Stegostoma tigrinum: one gene and its partner. The protein of the gene in region 2 purifies or fractionates together with the protein of the main gene of each other region. This does not show direct contact. Links are inferred from orthologs where the notes say so. Each region holds a gene or a part of one and is shown on either strand. Other genes may lie near its edges.

Region 1 (7,768 bases), on a different chromosome or scaffold from region 2:
ATTTAATTTACCAGGCACCAGGGTTCATAAAAAATGTTTGCCAAAACATGGATGATTTCGAACATCTTAGAAAAAAGCCAATTGTTACAGGAATAAGAAACAGAAACACCTTAGTCCAAAAAAGCTGCAAGAGGATGTTGCTTAATGTTTTTTTACGGCGATATTATTTGAAACCAAGAGTATAGAAAGTTTCCACCTCAAGAAAGATTAATATTGAAATAATTTGCATCGCATTACTGTTCACCTGCTTCAGCCCAAACTTCCCAATCTGAAATATTTGTTATTAAATTCATGATACCAGCCGCAAGTCATCCGCCTGTAACATCTACGTCGCTTGCTGTTAGTAAATCTGCTGTCACTTATTAAAGAGCTCGACAGTCGCGCAACTTTTACTAGGCAGCCTTTTAAAAACACCAGCGAACCTGGCGTGTGCAGAAATTCATTCATACCAATCCCACATGACTATCAGCGGAGCTAGTTCGTCTTCTAATAACGAGCAGTTCACCGGCAAACAAATGCGGGGGGGGGGGGGGAGTCAATGAAACATTTCCTCATTGCACCATAAACCAATCGAGGGCCACAGCATATTTAGTGTGTAAATGAAACTGTCCATACCTGTCCAAATTCACTATTTATTATAGGCGAGGCGTCCAAATAAGCATCGGTACCGACAGGAAGAGTCTGGGGGGTAAAGTAACCACTGACCAGTAGCTCGTAGTATCTCATCCGATGTTCACCTACGGAACGGCAGGATTATAATGACTGCGGAGTCTGAATCAGTGTTTAAAACGACACAGGTCGTTGTAAATATATCCCACCGATTGGATATAAACAGCACTCCCTCCCGCCACAACATGGAATTAACATATTGATCAGAACTACACGTGACTGTGGGATTTTTCAACACCGGCGTCAACATCATGATAGCCCCGCGATTCTCAAGGCCCATTAATACATTACACCAGGACTCTCAGAGTATACTGGTTGGGAAGATTTTACAAACGACAGCAATCCCTCTGTTTCCTAGCAACATTAAACAAGCTACATTTGTGTGCACACGTGACTCAGAATCGGCGTTAAAATGAGTCAATATTACATATTTGCATTAATCTCGGATGGTGAACCAAGCACGACTTTAAATCCGATAGGCATGCAAAGTCGAAGAGAACCGAATTGATTAAAAAGTAACTTTATTGCACCTTTGGTATCGAGTTGGACGTGGATGATGTTTCCCATAACGGAAGTGTTGTGAAGGTGCTGCACAGTATCCTTGGCTCCCTTCACTGTGGCGAACACCACCTTCGCGATTCCTAGGTGCTTCTTGTTCTTAGGGTTGTAAAGAATTTCCACTTCTTCAACCTCGCCATACTTCTTGCACATGTCCAAAAGAAACCCCTCTCGTATGTTGTCGTTCAGCTTGGCAAATGTTACCTGCTTTGGAGGTACGGGTCCCACGTAATGCTCGTCGATCTGTTGGCACCAGGAGCACATTCAAACAAACTTAACTAGCGAATGCTAAACAAAAAAAAGGTTGTCTTGGACATTTCATTGCTTATTTACTTATGTTTTGCAGTTACAAAGAGTAAAGTGCTAGAGTGATAGGCTACAGAAAGGAAATTCTACTAATGAGATGAAACTGAGAAAGTTATTTCAGTTCCCCTTCTCCTTTACCTTAAATTTTGGAACAGGTAAATCCAGCTCTTTGCTTTTGGTCCACATGCGTCCAAGTCGGGGGTCTCTGACAGTATCAACCGGCGGAACACCAGAATTCTGCAATAAGAACGATTGACATGATTTAGTTTTGAAGGTTTAGGGAACATGCAGCAAACTGGAGAACATGTTAACGAGTAACCGGACTGTCAGCTTAAGAGCTCCTGACAGGAGGAACCGCAATGTAACTTTCTTCGCTTACAACATTGTAACAATGGCAGCATCCTGTGACAAACACGACAGACGTGGAATTAATGGCTGCACTTCCACAATATCACTCACAGGGAGACTTAAATGTTGGCCATCATAGCGGTAGAGTTTGTGCTGTCCCTTCTTCAACGCTGGGTCAATAATCAACTTATAACTTCGCCAATGGTGACTTTTTCTCTCTGCTGAACTCCCTCCTGCGTGGCTGTGCTCCATCCCATTGATCAAACCTGCAAATGTTGGGGAGGGTAAGGGGGGAGGAACACAAAATGATTTTAAGCTAGGCTGACAAATGCCTCAGTTCTCAACATTTTTTTAAAAATCCTTTTTTCCCTTCCACAAATACATTGCTCATGAAATGGGGAATCTAAGCTCGCTGGACCATTAGAGAAAAAGAGAGAAGGGGGGGTTGAAAGAGAGAGAGAGAAAAAACACTCACTTGAACTCTGCTTCTTGCCATGATCTTCGTGGTGCCTCGGCTTCTCCCCGGGTTTCAGCTCCTTGAAAGACATTGTCGTCGATTTCTGTCGGTTTCGGAGCGAACGGCGTGATCTGGGGAAAACAATTACATTTCGCTGATTAGGTTACATTGTACGGCTCCAGCCTCCTTTTTTTTCGCGAGCCAACACATATTGTGTGCTTCTGCTCAGTGTATGTACGTATCCCACAATCCACCCGCCCAGTCTGGGGGGCCACCAGCTAGTCTTCCATTCCCTCCGCACATTCAACGTTTCCGTGCGTCTACCTCCCTCCCCCATCAGACCCGGGAGCAGGCCCTGGATCCCCGGCCTCGCCCCGGTCCCAGACGCAGCCCGGGCACCCGCCTGTCGGGAGAAGGGGAAAGGGAACTCATTTATTTTTATTTTTTTCTCTCTCTCTCCGCCGACCTGGGCCTCGGCTTGACGGACGGTAATTTTGAATCAGGGCCGGGAATCCATGTTAGGTTTACGCAGCGTCGAACTGGGTCGCCAAACAAGATGGGTCGAGGTGGTTCAAGTTTGAGGACTCCCATTGAGCATTAACTTCCATTTCGCCATTGCTCCTCCCCCTCCCATCCCCCACGGGGCCCTCTGCCGCCTCTGCTTCTTTAGTTTTCTTTTGGATTTTTTTTGCAACTACCCTCCCCCTCCCACACACACACACCACCCCCTGCCCAAGCGGTATTTTTTTTTATTTTTTTCTCTCCTTTCCTCCCCCCCCCGCGGTGTCTCGCACGATCGTTAAGTTCCGAGTGGTTTTGAATGGTTGGCCGATTTCGCCTGTTTAAAAGGTGGCTGCTAACGGGGGCCAATCAGAGCGGGGCTTGCTTGAGCCTTGTGGGGGTTTTTTTGGAAGCTTGAAGTGAAAGCTCCTTGAGCAAGAGGAGAGGCTCAGACTGGGTACTGTGTGTGTCTTTGTGAGAGTGTGTGTTACCCCGCTCAGCAACAACAAGGGCAAGGACTGGCGCTCTCCTTTATCACAAATGGAAAGATCTCTCTTCACAGTTTCAAAGCACTGTGGGTTTTCTCCTTTTAATTAAAAATGGATCTAATTTAGGTTCTGTAATCTCTGGCCACATTTGAAGAGCTGATGATGATGATGATGATGAATTTGGATGCAAGATTTCGAACTGCTAAAGCCTGAAGATTTTTTTACTTTGGAATGCATCTTGGGGTTGAAACTAGGTCATGGCACACCAACGTTGTCTGCAGTTACATTGACATGAAATCTTTGTAAAGTGAACGGAGCACAATTGATTTTTTTCTATGCTTTTATATAACTTATGAAAACCGATTTAATGGTAGCATATGGATTGTTTGACAGTAGCGCTTTTAACACTTTGAAGATTTGTGGTAATCTTAATTTTTAAATTCGTTTTGCATTCAGAAGAAACAACATCAGAATCTCAAGCAAATGAGTTTTTTTACTTTTTTTCAATAACAATGATCTGTCTAACTCAACGACAATTTTTACAAACTCGGTAGAGCGATTCTTAATGTTTCCACTGCAGTTAGGCGTTGTCCTTAACTGAAAGATTCCTGCCAGAATTGCTTGTAATTTATGTATTCGAACCCTTTTAGCCGTTTCAGTACGTAATTCTGAAACCGCGAACAATTGTCAAATCTATTAAATGCTATTAAATGGAATGTCAACTCACTAACTTTTCAGTTTTGACTTCGTTTTTATTTTAAAAACAAGTAATTTCATAAGCTTAAACCCATCATGAAAATCCTTTTAATATTTGCTCGCATCAGAGATATTTAACTGATGGGATCTCTAATGGGAAGCCGCCAAACATTTCAAAATGGAACCTTTGCCTTGCTTTTTCTTCTTCCCCAAATTAAAATTGATTCTTTACACTGGATTGACATTGACATTTTAAACACATTTTATATAGCACATTAAGCTACTTCAGTATGCAGATGTATTTTTAGAAAACACATCTCTCAGTTTCGTCTCAAAATGTATTACTGGCAGGTGGTGTGTGGCCGACAACTGTCGTGTGACATTTTAAATCTGGATTAAAACGAAGGTCTGTACCACTTTTATTACAAACCGAATCCGATGATGTACCATGTTTGAAACATTTTCCATTGCCAATTTTGAAAATTCTCATTAGTTTAAAACAAATTTGATGCTTTAAATATTATTTGTATTTTTGCATCGCTTGCAAATAATATCTTTTAATTTGCATTGTTCCTTGTCTTATATTTCATATTAATCTTAAAAGTAGGGTCACTTAATTGACATTTAGAGTGCTAAGATTACATGGAGCATTTAACCTAGTCTACATAAAATTGAAGTCATTATGATTCTGTTGCCTTTATGTGCTCTTTCTTAAAGATTAAGATCTTAAGAAACTGATTTATTTTACCGGGAAACGAGCTTTAAACAGAGAAATTAAGATGTTCTTTCGAATGGAAATGTTTGCTTTTTTTGTTGTTGCTTTTCGATGGAACGTACAAGTCATGGCCGGCTGATGCAACAAAATGACGACTGGTATTCCTTTCTATTTGTGAATATTTAGTGCCTAAGTTGTTTGAGCTGTGGGTGGTTGAAGCTTCCCGAAATAGTTTCGGATTACAAATAGCCCTGAGGCGTAGTGTTTTTGTTCGGTAGAGAGCTCTGTACTGTACGTGACAAAAAAAATCGGCTCAAACAAAATGGAGCTGGTGCCTGGTGTCGCTGAGAAGTTAAAATGAACATGAAGAGTAAACAAGCTGCTGAGTAATGGTGTGCCTGGGCAGAGTAGGCCGCGGTCATTGTGCAAATAGTGAAACGTTTCTGATTCAGAAAGGGTCAGAAATAGGTCCCCCATTTGTGAAAAGGAAATCTCATAAATATTCGCCCCCCAAATACTTCAATAGTATTGTATAAATTTTATTTTTGACAAAGCTGTAATTTTGGGTAAGCTAAATCTTTTAGTTCGAACTGTTGAATCACGAGGTGAGCTGGATTTGCTGAGTTTCAGTATAGCAAAGGCACTGATGAAACAATGGCTTTATTTCAATCTGACCAGGGACCCCTGAGTGTGCTGTAATTACTACAGCGTGAATCGGGCGGTAATTTCTCTGCTCCGCCTCCAGCAACACCATCCAAAGTTCATTACTGAGCCAACATTGTGTGACCCAGTGCCCCCAGAAGCTAAAGTACATCGTGATGCGCATTGTGTAATTGTCAAGTGGCCCTCTTGTCTCAGTCAATCCCTGGAGGATTTGAGATTGCCAAGGCTGTCGTGAAATCGTGGTTACCAACGTGGGAATGTGAATTCAACAATTAGGATAGATGAATGTATTTCCTAGGGCCCTGGCACTCAGCGACTCTAACGAGAATAGTCCCCAGTGTATTACACACTTCCTGTTTGAAGCCCTGTCAAAACATTGGTTTGCAACATTTCATTCCCTCCCAGCCCCATGCAATGGACTCGTGCCAAGAAACTGTCCGGAGACCTCTGGTAGCTCTTAAACTGTTATGGACATGTATACTGCCATTACACACCATTGACAGATCATTTGAGCCTGATTGTTTCCTTTATAAAGGTCCTTGCTTTGGCGAAATCGTTGACATTGGCTCTTGTCAAATATTGTTTGGGATTGTTTTACCAATGTCAGTTTCCTGCTCCCTACATCCTTGGAGGTGGCGGGGGTCTAGAAATATTTTTAAGCTCCTTACACAACTCATGATGTGGTTATTTACTGGAAGGGCCTTGGCTTCGAAACTGAAATCAACAGCAGTAAAAGCGAGGGTGCGGATGAGTGAGAAACAAGTGCTGAACAACAAAAAAAGGACAGTCAGCTATAATGTGAGAAACTGAAATTTGCATGCGTGTGGAAGAGAGTCTGAAAGAGTGAAGAGGAAGTTTGTAGACTTGAGTGTACCACTATCCGCGCTTATAGAATCGCAGAATTACGATTGCGCAAGAGGCCATTCGACCCATTTATAGTTTGCACTGATTTTCCTGTGAAAGCAATTCGCCCAGCGCCCGTTCCCCTATTTTCTCCCATAAACTGTACATTCTTCCTTTCTCAGATAACAGTTTCCTTTGCCTCAGTTGAACCTACGTCCGTCACAGAATCAGGGTGTATTTCCTCATGTCATTATTGTTTCTTTTGCCTTTTACCTTCAATCTGTACCCTCTTGGTTCCCAATTCTTCCACCCGTGGGAAGTATTCTCCTACCCATTCTGCACCTGGACCCTTAGAATTTTGAATACTATTAAATCTTCTGTTGGCCTTCTCCAAGGAAAATAGATCTATTTATCTTGCGGTTCCAAGGATGAAGAACTTTTCTTGTGAGAGAATCCTTTCTGTATTTTTTCCAGTGCCTTCAGGGGTTTCCTAAATTACAGCACTCGGAACATACACTAGTTTGGCGTCAACCAGTGAAGGTATTATACAAGTTCAACATTTTTGTACTGCACCTTAATAAATAAAGCCTAGGCTAGTTACACTTTAACTGCTCTCAACCTGCCCCAGCACCTGCAATGACTGGTGCACATATACAACCATGTCTACAAATACCCTCTAATTTATACTGTTTCAGTATGCTCTTCCTACCAAAATGAATGGCTTTGTACTCCTCCACATTGAATTTAATTTGCCATTTCTCCATCCATTCCACCTGCCTGTCTGTGTCCTTTTTGAAGGCCTACATTATACTCTGCCATTCACAATACTTGCAGTTTCACATCCATTTGCTAATCCTCCCCAAAAAGTTTACCTCACTTAATATATTTCTAGAAGAGGATGGATCCTAGCAACAATCCCTGTGCAATGCTCAAAGCTTTCTCCAAATCAGAAAACATTTAATAATTACTATTTTTGTATCTTGTCTGTCAGCCAATTTTTATATTCATATTACTACTGTTTTTTTTAAAACAAGTTATAACTTGTTAACAGCTCAAGCCCCTAAAGGATTTTAGCATAAATAGGGTGATTGGGTTCAAACTTATTAGGAATGAAAATTGGCTTCAGCCAGTTTTTATTGCTGACCTGTAGGCATAACACTGTTTGGGGAATGCATTCAAGTGAACCATTGTTGTTCCTTCTGCTGCTGTATTGGTCTTTTTAGCCTACTTCATCACCATCTCAGAAGGCCAAGGCCACTGTTATCCAAATTGAAATCTGTTTATTCAATTATTTTCATACAAAAGTCATTGTAAATTGAACATGCTTATGACATACTATAATCAACAATGTTTAAATTGCTCCATTGGCCAAAGAATGAAGGGTACTGCTACTTATGTGTGTTGCATGGCTTCTGGAAACCTTGGAATGTATTGCACCACATTTCACACCATTGTCCTGGAATCTTTGGCTACATTTCCCAGGTTTCAGGATGAGTTAACACTTCCTAAAACATTTTTATTTAT
Region 2 (7,415 bases):
CCCACCCACTATCTCTACTACTACTTCCCTCACAGCGGTTTACGAAGCAACATTATTTAGTTATTAAAAGTTGCAGAGAAGATGGATCATGGTTGGGGAGGAGAAGGGCGTGGGCGTGAGACCAAATGAATATGCGGTACCCAGTACAATGAAGCACGGGAACAGGACCTTCAGTCCACCAGGATACCATTCTAAATTAAACCTAAAATATTCTTAATTCTGTAGTAAATGAGGACTAATCATTTGTAAATCCTGTTCACGGATCAAGAGCCAAATGGCACAGAGTTAGCTCATGTTGACACTGCTACTTATCATTGCTTTAAGGGCAGATAAAAGGCACTAGTATAGTTTGGTGGTTTGTTGGTCAGCATTGATACGGTGGGCTGAAGGACCTGTTTTTATGCTGTACGATTCTATGAGAAACAGCACTCATACAAGTGTGTGGTTAAGGCAATGTTTCCAAAACTTTTCTTTCCCACTGTGACCCTTGAAATTGTCAAGAGCAGGAAAAAGGCCAGTGATATAGAGGTGGGGAGTTTGAAATTTGCAAAGTTTCATTCAACTTGTGAACCCCATTTGGTGTCCTGGACCCATGCCCTCACTTTGGTAAGCCCTTGGTTACAGACTGCCATCCAGAGTGCTGGAGACAGGTTCAATCAAGCCATCCACTTCGGGATCATGGTTACCTGAAATGGAAGGATGTCAGGGCTGTGCAGAGAAGGCCAGAGGGGAAGAGTGGAAATAGCACCAGGGGAATTTCTTCTTCAGAGAACTAGCACAGACATGATAGGCCAGTTGGCTTCCTCCTAAAATGTAGTTGTTATGTGAATTCATAAGGAGTTCAGAATGTTTTCTTTTATCCAGGCAGTGATATTGGATCACACCATCACAAGAAATAATTTGAAGTGAAAGTTAAGAGCAAGTTGTATTTACATGGAAGCTAAATACACAGGTGGGAGACAGAAATGGAAAGGCATGTTCATTGGGTTAAATGGATTCAATTGGGAGGAGATTTTCATGAAGTATTAATGCTGGCATGGACCAGTGGGCACGATGGCCTGTTTCTCCTCTTCATATTTGTCAATCAGCACAACACTAGGATATTCAATCCTTCTTGGTGTCCCAGTTGTCTAATAGGACATTTTTCTGTACTGTAAATTCTATGTAAAAGTAAATATCAAGCGGTTCAAGGAGATAAAATATGACAGAGTAGATAGAGAAAATTTATTCTCTGTTGCAAGCAAATCATTAAGAATAATTCATTGATTTTAAAAAGTTGACAAAGATATGGAGAGGTAATGAGAAAATGTTTTTCATGCAGAATGTTAGTAGAACCTGGAATCGTCTACTTGAAAAATTGGTGCTAGCAGATTCTAACAATAATGTTAAAAGAGATTTGGTCGAATACTTGAGAATGTCGAACTAGCAGGACAGATAGAAAAAAAGCAGGGGCAGGGATGGGAGGAAAAGTGAGGCATGATGGGCCGAATGGTCTTCTTCTGTGCTGTAAATTTTAAAGATTCTATTACATGCAATAAACTGGAAATAGTGGAAACACAGAACAAGGTAGGCAGCATACTATAGAGAAAGAAAGTTAAAGTCTGAAGTGAATTACATTGTGTTAGGATTTGGAAAATCGAGAGGTGGAGCAGGTTTTAAACAATCTCAAGGACAGGACAGTTTGCAGGAGATGCTGGAATACTGCTAACTACACCAGGCTAGCAATCCGTAGGCCCAGGTTAATGCTCTGGGAAACACAGGTTCAAATTATACCGTGCCAGCTGGTGGAATTTATATTCAGATTATTCAAAATAATTCTGTACTATATAAAGAATATGACAACTATTTCCAATTGTTGTAAAAGCCAATCTGGTTCAATAATGCCCTTCAGGGAGGGAATTTGCCATCCAGTGAGACAAAAGAGAGGCAGGAGACGTGATTAGTTTGGATTTCCAGAAGGTCTTCAACAAGGTGCTGCACTGAACACCGCTCAATTAGATAAGAATCGATGTATTAGGGTCAAGGTATGGACAGAAGATCGGCTGGCTGGCTGAAGGTAGAGAATGGAGAAAAAAAGGTGTCTTCTCCAGGATGGCGGTCAAAGACTAGTGGAATACTGCAAGCATCAGTGTTGGGATCACACTATTCATATTATACATTACTGATATGCATTAAGGAACTGAGGGCATTGTTGCTAAGTCTGTAGATAACACAAAGACAGGGACAGGTAGTGTTACAGAAGCAGGGAGGCTGCAGAAAGACTTAGGCTAGCAGAGTGGACAAAGAAGTGGCAGATGGAATGCAATGTGGGAAAGTGTTAGGTTATATATTTTGGTAGGACCAATAGAGGCACAGACCATTTTCTAAATGGGGAAATTTGAAGCAGTAAGGGACTTAGGAGTCCGTATTCAGAATTCTCTTAAGGTTAACATACAAGTTCATTTTGGTAGTTAGAAAGGCAAATGCAATGGCAGCATTCAGTTCGAGAGGACTAGAATACAAATGCAGAGATGTACTGCTGAGGCGAAATAAGGCTCTGACCAGACCACATTTGGAAGCAGTTTTGAGTCCCAAATCTAAGGATGTGCTAATCTTGGATGAAGTCTAGGGGATATTTACTAGAATGATTCCAGGAATGAACAGCTTGTCATTTGATGAGAGTTTGAGAACTCTGGGTCTGTACTCAATGGAATTTAGAGGAATGAGATTTGAATCTGATTGAAGCTTGCAGAACACTGAGGGGGCTGGATGGTGTGGATGTGGAGAAGATATTTCCAATGGCAGTAGAGTCGAGGACCCAATGACACAGCCTCAGAGTGAAGGGGTGATTCTTTAGAGCTGAATTGTGGAGGAATTTCTTCAGCCAGAGGGTGGAGAATCTACGGAACTCGTTGACACAGGAGGCTGTGGAGGCCAAGTTATTGAGACAGAGATTTGAGACAAGTAGACATTGGTTCTTGATTTGTAAGTAGATCAAAGGTTAAAGGGAAATGGCAGAAGAATGGGTTTGAGAAACATACCAGCCATGAATGAATGGTGGAGCCGACACAATGGGCTGAATAACCCAATTCTGTTCCTGTATCTCACTAAATCATGGTCTTATCTGGTCAGGTCTAATTGTGATTCTAGACAAACTGCAATGTGGTTCAATCTTACCTGTCCTCTGAAATTATCAATGAAACCATTCCATTCAACGGTAATTAGAGATGGCAACAAATGCTTACCAGAGATATCCACTTAGTAAGAACAAATAAAGAAAAATTATAAGGTGAGCAAAGAACAAAATTCATATTTGATATGGTAGCAAGGAGAGTTTAAATAACAAAAGAGATTGTGACGCAGGTAAAAGGGGTGACAATGGCTTTGACCTGATAAAAGATGCAAAATGTGTAACTAGAAAAGCTCTAAATGGAAAAATACAGAATCATCGCTTATGGATGTCATTTAAAATAATGCGGTTAAGTTTATAATCTGAAATTGATGAACTCAGTGCTAAATCCTGAAGGCTGTAATGTAACTTGATGAAAGATGAGCTGTTCCTCAACGTCACGTTTGAACTTCATAGAAAAGTCATGAGATCTCCAAACAAGATAATGTTAGAAATGGGCCAATGTAGGAAACTGAGGTCAGTGTTCAAGTGGAGAATCAAAACAAATAAGTCACATTGCAGGTGAGAGCATGCATATTGCTTGAAAGAGACACATGTAGCTGAAGCTTTTTATCATGTGCACTCATCAAGACAAATGCAAAAATGCCACACGTCAAATGATGTTCATACGATAGGGGAAGGATTGGTTGGCAAGCTGATTTCAGTTGGTCAAATGGTGACATGAGGGGGATGCAAATGATGAACAAAAGCTCTAATGAAAGGAATCCTAAAATAAAGCGTTAAAATAACAAAAGGGAGGAAAGTGTGCAAAATGGAAAAAGAGAATCATCACAGACTGGCCATCCAGTGGAACCGCCCTTTAGCAAAACAGCGACCGACTCAACTCCAGCACCTTGAACGCACATGCGCTGCAAGAGTAGAGCCGTATCTCCCTGACAACCAGGACTGGGCTTTATGGGTAATATCATGCCGCAGACCAAAATGTTGGCTGACGTCATGGTCATTTGCCAGTGGGTGGGTTTTGAAGAAGATGGCAACGGTCATGAGACACCGCCTCCGCCGCCGGGTTGTCATGGAGACGACGGGGGCGTTGACACATCATCTCCATAACGACCGAGGGCGGGGGATTAGGTATTATGGGTAGCGGCGCGTTCGCGCCAACCGCGGCTTGGTATCCACAATGCCCCGCGGTTAGGGTGAAGGGCTGTCGCTTTTGAGTCTGGGTCGTGCGCCGCCATTTTAGTCGTGTTTAAATATCGGAGAAAGAAAAAAATACACAAAACTCTCTCCCCTCAGATGCTCAAAAGAAAAAATTAAAGGCGCATCTCGCAGCTTTTTTTTAAAGAAACCGTCCTATTCCTCCCATCTGTAAGCCCCTCCCTGCACCACCGAGCAAAGAAGAACGAGATGAAGCTGACGGATAATGTGCTGCGCAGCTTCCGAGTGGCTAAGGTATTCCGAGAGAACACAGACAAGATCAACTGCTTCGATTTCTCACCCAACGGAGAGACGCTCATCTCCAGCAGCGATGACGACTCCATCGTTCTTTACGACTGCCAGGAGGGCAAGTGAGTACTTTCACCGCCCCCCCCCCCCCCGCTCTCATTTCAGATCAAAAAGACCCTCCCCTCTCTGGGAGGCCTAGAAATCCCGGCCTTGATTTTCACAAAAGACCCTGAGCTCGGGTTGCGTTGCGCGGTCAGGAGAGAGAGAGTTGGGGGCTGATTGCAGAGCCAGCCTGCGGCGAGGAGAAGCTGGAAAGTAATCAGTTGCCTTGGATTATTAACTGGATTTAGGAAGAGGGCAGTCTCACGTTGGAGGCGGGAAATAGTGATCTGCAACACGATGTTCTGGGTTCAGACCGTCGTCTGTGGTGATCACTAATAATGTCTCTTCGATATGCTTCGTAGCGAAGAGTGCATCTGTAGGATTTCTTTCCCAAATGTTGCAGATAACAGCCATTCAAGGTGGAAATCGTAGCCAAACAAATCACGATGTTAGTAGCCTACCTCGATGCAGAGCACATGCGCTCAACATGCTACAGTTGAGGCAGACACCTTGCATCTGTTTACCGTGTAATTCAGTAAAGTTAACCAGACTTTTATAAATCCATGTAATAAATCCGTAAAGCTGGCACTTAGTGTGACCCAAAATCTGTGCACAGTTTAGGTCTTGTGGTGGAATGTGTAGCGCTCATGTCTCTGAGTTAGAGCTCTGGATTCGATTTCTATCCGCGAACTTTTGATATGTCTGGATTAAGTCCTGTCTGTCCTGGAGATGTGCCATTGTGTGTCAGAACAAGTTGTTTAGCAAACTGCAAGAGAATATGGGCTAGTATAGTGTGGTGTGGTGTAGTGCCACTGTGTCTGGGCCCAAACGTCTAGATTCAAATCCTACAAAAGTGTTACATAATTTTATTCATCCTGTTTAGATATATTATTTTAGAATTGTAACTTGATGGAGAACAAAGACGCATCAATAATGAATTTCAGAATTTAGGCCCTAAATAGCTGAAAGCATAGCCATTCAAGTTTTGAAGAAAATATACATAGTAGATCTGAGAAATGGAAGGGACAAGATTGTAGAATGGTTACCACATAAAGGGGAACTATTTATTTATATTTTAGTGCCCTAGATGCTGTTTTTCATGAGAGATGTAGTTTAAGTCTTTTTGAAGAAAATTGACTTGTATTTGTTTTTGCCTTGTATTCTTTGCATTGTGTTTTTCCTGTGACAGAGTTTTGTGGTCACTAGACTTCAGTATGTAAATCTCAACAGTAAGTGTTGGCAGGTTAATCCATTATTACAGGTGGCCTCAGTTGAGTATGTTATTGTTGTTCTTTATTGTCCCTCCATGCTGATTTCCAGCCTGTCGCAGCTAATTCTGTAAAATTGATGTGTAGCCTTATATTAATTTGAGTAATTCAGTTTATAAAATAAGTGTCATTCTGATAGAGAGCTCTGAATGTTATCAGGATATCTGAGTTACATTTTAAAGTAGTAAATTGTTTGATCGTCTCCGACTAAGGTAGAGGATGTCATAACTGCTTCAGTACCTGTTGAGCTGTGTGGTTGGCACTGAGTATGATGTAAGAGGTTTGCAATTTCCTTGTTTTCTCTTCACAGTAATGATGCATGTGGTTTGTGATTTTTGTTGGTGTCGCTGTTACTGAAAATCAGGTCAGCTAATGAGTCAGTAAGTCATAAGGTGTCCTTTAGTTGACCTAGTTTATTTCCTTTTTATGGATGGTCTTGTAACCAAGCCGTAGTGTTTCTGATTCTGGGTCAGAGGTATGTCAAAAACATGCCTGAGCAGGTCCATTTTCTTGTGGTCAAGAAAATACTTGACTGTTTTAACAAAGGACAGCATTATATGTCAGTTAGTTAATCAGTTACATACAGAAGCATGCATCGATGATTTTGTTGCCTTTTCTGATATTTGGGCATGACTACATAAGGGAGGCCTTGAAACTAGACAACAGTAAAATTTGGAAAGAACAGTTATGTGAACTTCTCTGCAACAGTGTGTTGAGGTTAAATTAGACATCTTTTCTGATAAAACTTAACATCACTTAATGTAATTTCTTTCTTACCTGTCAGACCAAAGAGGACACTGTACAGTAAGAAGTATGGGGTAGACCTGATCAGATACACACATGCAGCGAATACAGTGGTTTACAGCTCTAACAAAATCGATGGTAAGTTAGCTTGTGTTGTACAGATCTCCAGCTGTTTAGTTTCTCTTGCTGTGAACTTCTCCAAATCTGGGACATCCTTTGCATCTCTGCAGAATCAGGTTGTGGTGTAAAGTTTGTATTTATCTGTTACCAGTACATTAACAGTTTTTATAGAATTAATGTTTTGCCAGTTTAACACAACAATAGTTTGTAACTTTTTATTTTGTTTGTTTGGAAGTCTCGCCACCTCTTAAAACATATTTGATCCTTTGTTCTCAGTTTGCCATTGTTTTGGCTGCCTTTATAATTTTTCTAAAACTTTAGACCTGCCTGTCAAATTGCTGGGGGACCAATGTGTATTTGCATTTGCAGTTTGGTTTTGAAAGCAAGTCAGTCTTTTTATTATTTCCAAATCAAAATAACTGTGAATTTGATTTTAATATTTCAATTGATCTGGAAGTTGAAATTTGTAGATTAGAAGATGTGTCGAATTAATTAACTTTTGAGGGGGAATAAACCAGCAAGAAATAGAGAGGAAGAATGTAATTTTTGGGGCAGTTGTTTTCTATGCAAAGTGTTGATACTATTTGAAAGGAAAGTAACCAATACCTTACTACCTCATTGAAGTG

Evidence for each region.
Region 1: the proteins of wdr82 (region 2) and setd1ba purify together in Homo sapiens (affinity purification with western blotting; 4 studies listed by BioGRID, with this or other methods). This does not show direct contact. The link is inferred for Stegostoma tigrinum from reciprocal best matches to the Homo sapiens genes WDR82 and SETD1B.

The regions. Positions count from the first base shown.
Region 1 is NC_081379.1:25,226,644-25,234,411, reverse strand, and holds the start of setd1ba (histone-lysine N-methyltransferase SETD1B-A), read right to left. Parts: upstream 3,008-7,768; 5' UTR 2,930-3,007; coding exon 2,805-2,929; intron 2,470-2,804; coding exon 2,357-2,469; intron 2,148-2,356; coding exon 1,993-2,147; intron 1,771-1,992; coding exon 1,672-1,770; intron 1,471-1,671; coding exon 1,200-1,470; intron 738-1,199; coding exon 616-737; intron 1-615. UniProt on the Homo sapiens protein: Histone methyltransferase that catalyzes methyl group transfer from S-adenosyl-L-methionine to the epsilon-amino group of 'Lys-4' of histone H3 (H3K4) via a non-processive mechanism.
Region 2 is NC_081364.1:12,377,330-12,384,744, forward strand, and holds the start of wdr82 (WD repeat-containing protein 82), read left to right. Parts: upstream 1-4,273; 5' UTR 4,274-4,516; coding exon 4,517-4,677; exon of another isoform or gene 4,678-5,089; intron 5,090-6,709; coding exon 6,710-6,807; intron 6,808-7,415. UniProt on the Homo sapiens protein: Regulatory component of the SET1/COMPASS complex implicated in the tethering of this complex to transcriptional start sites of active genes.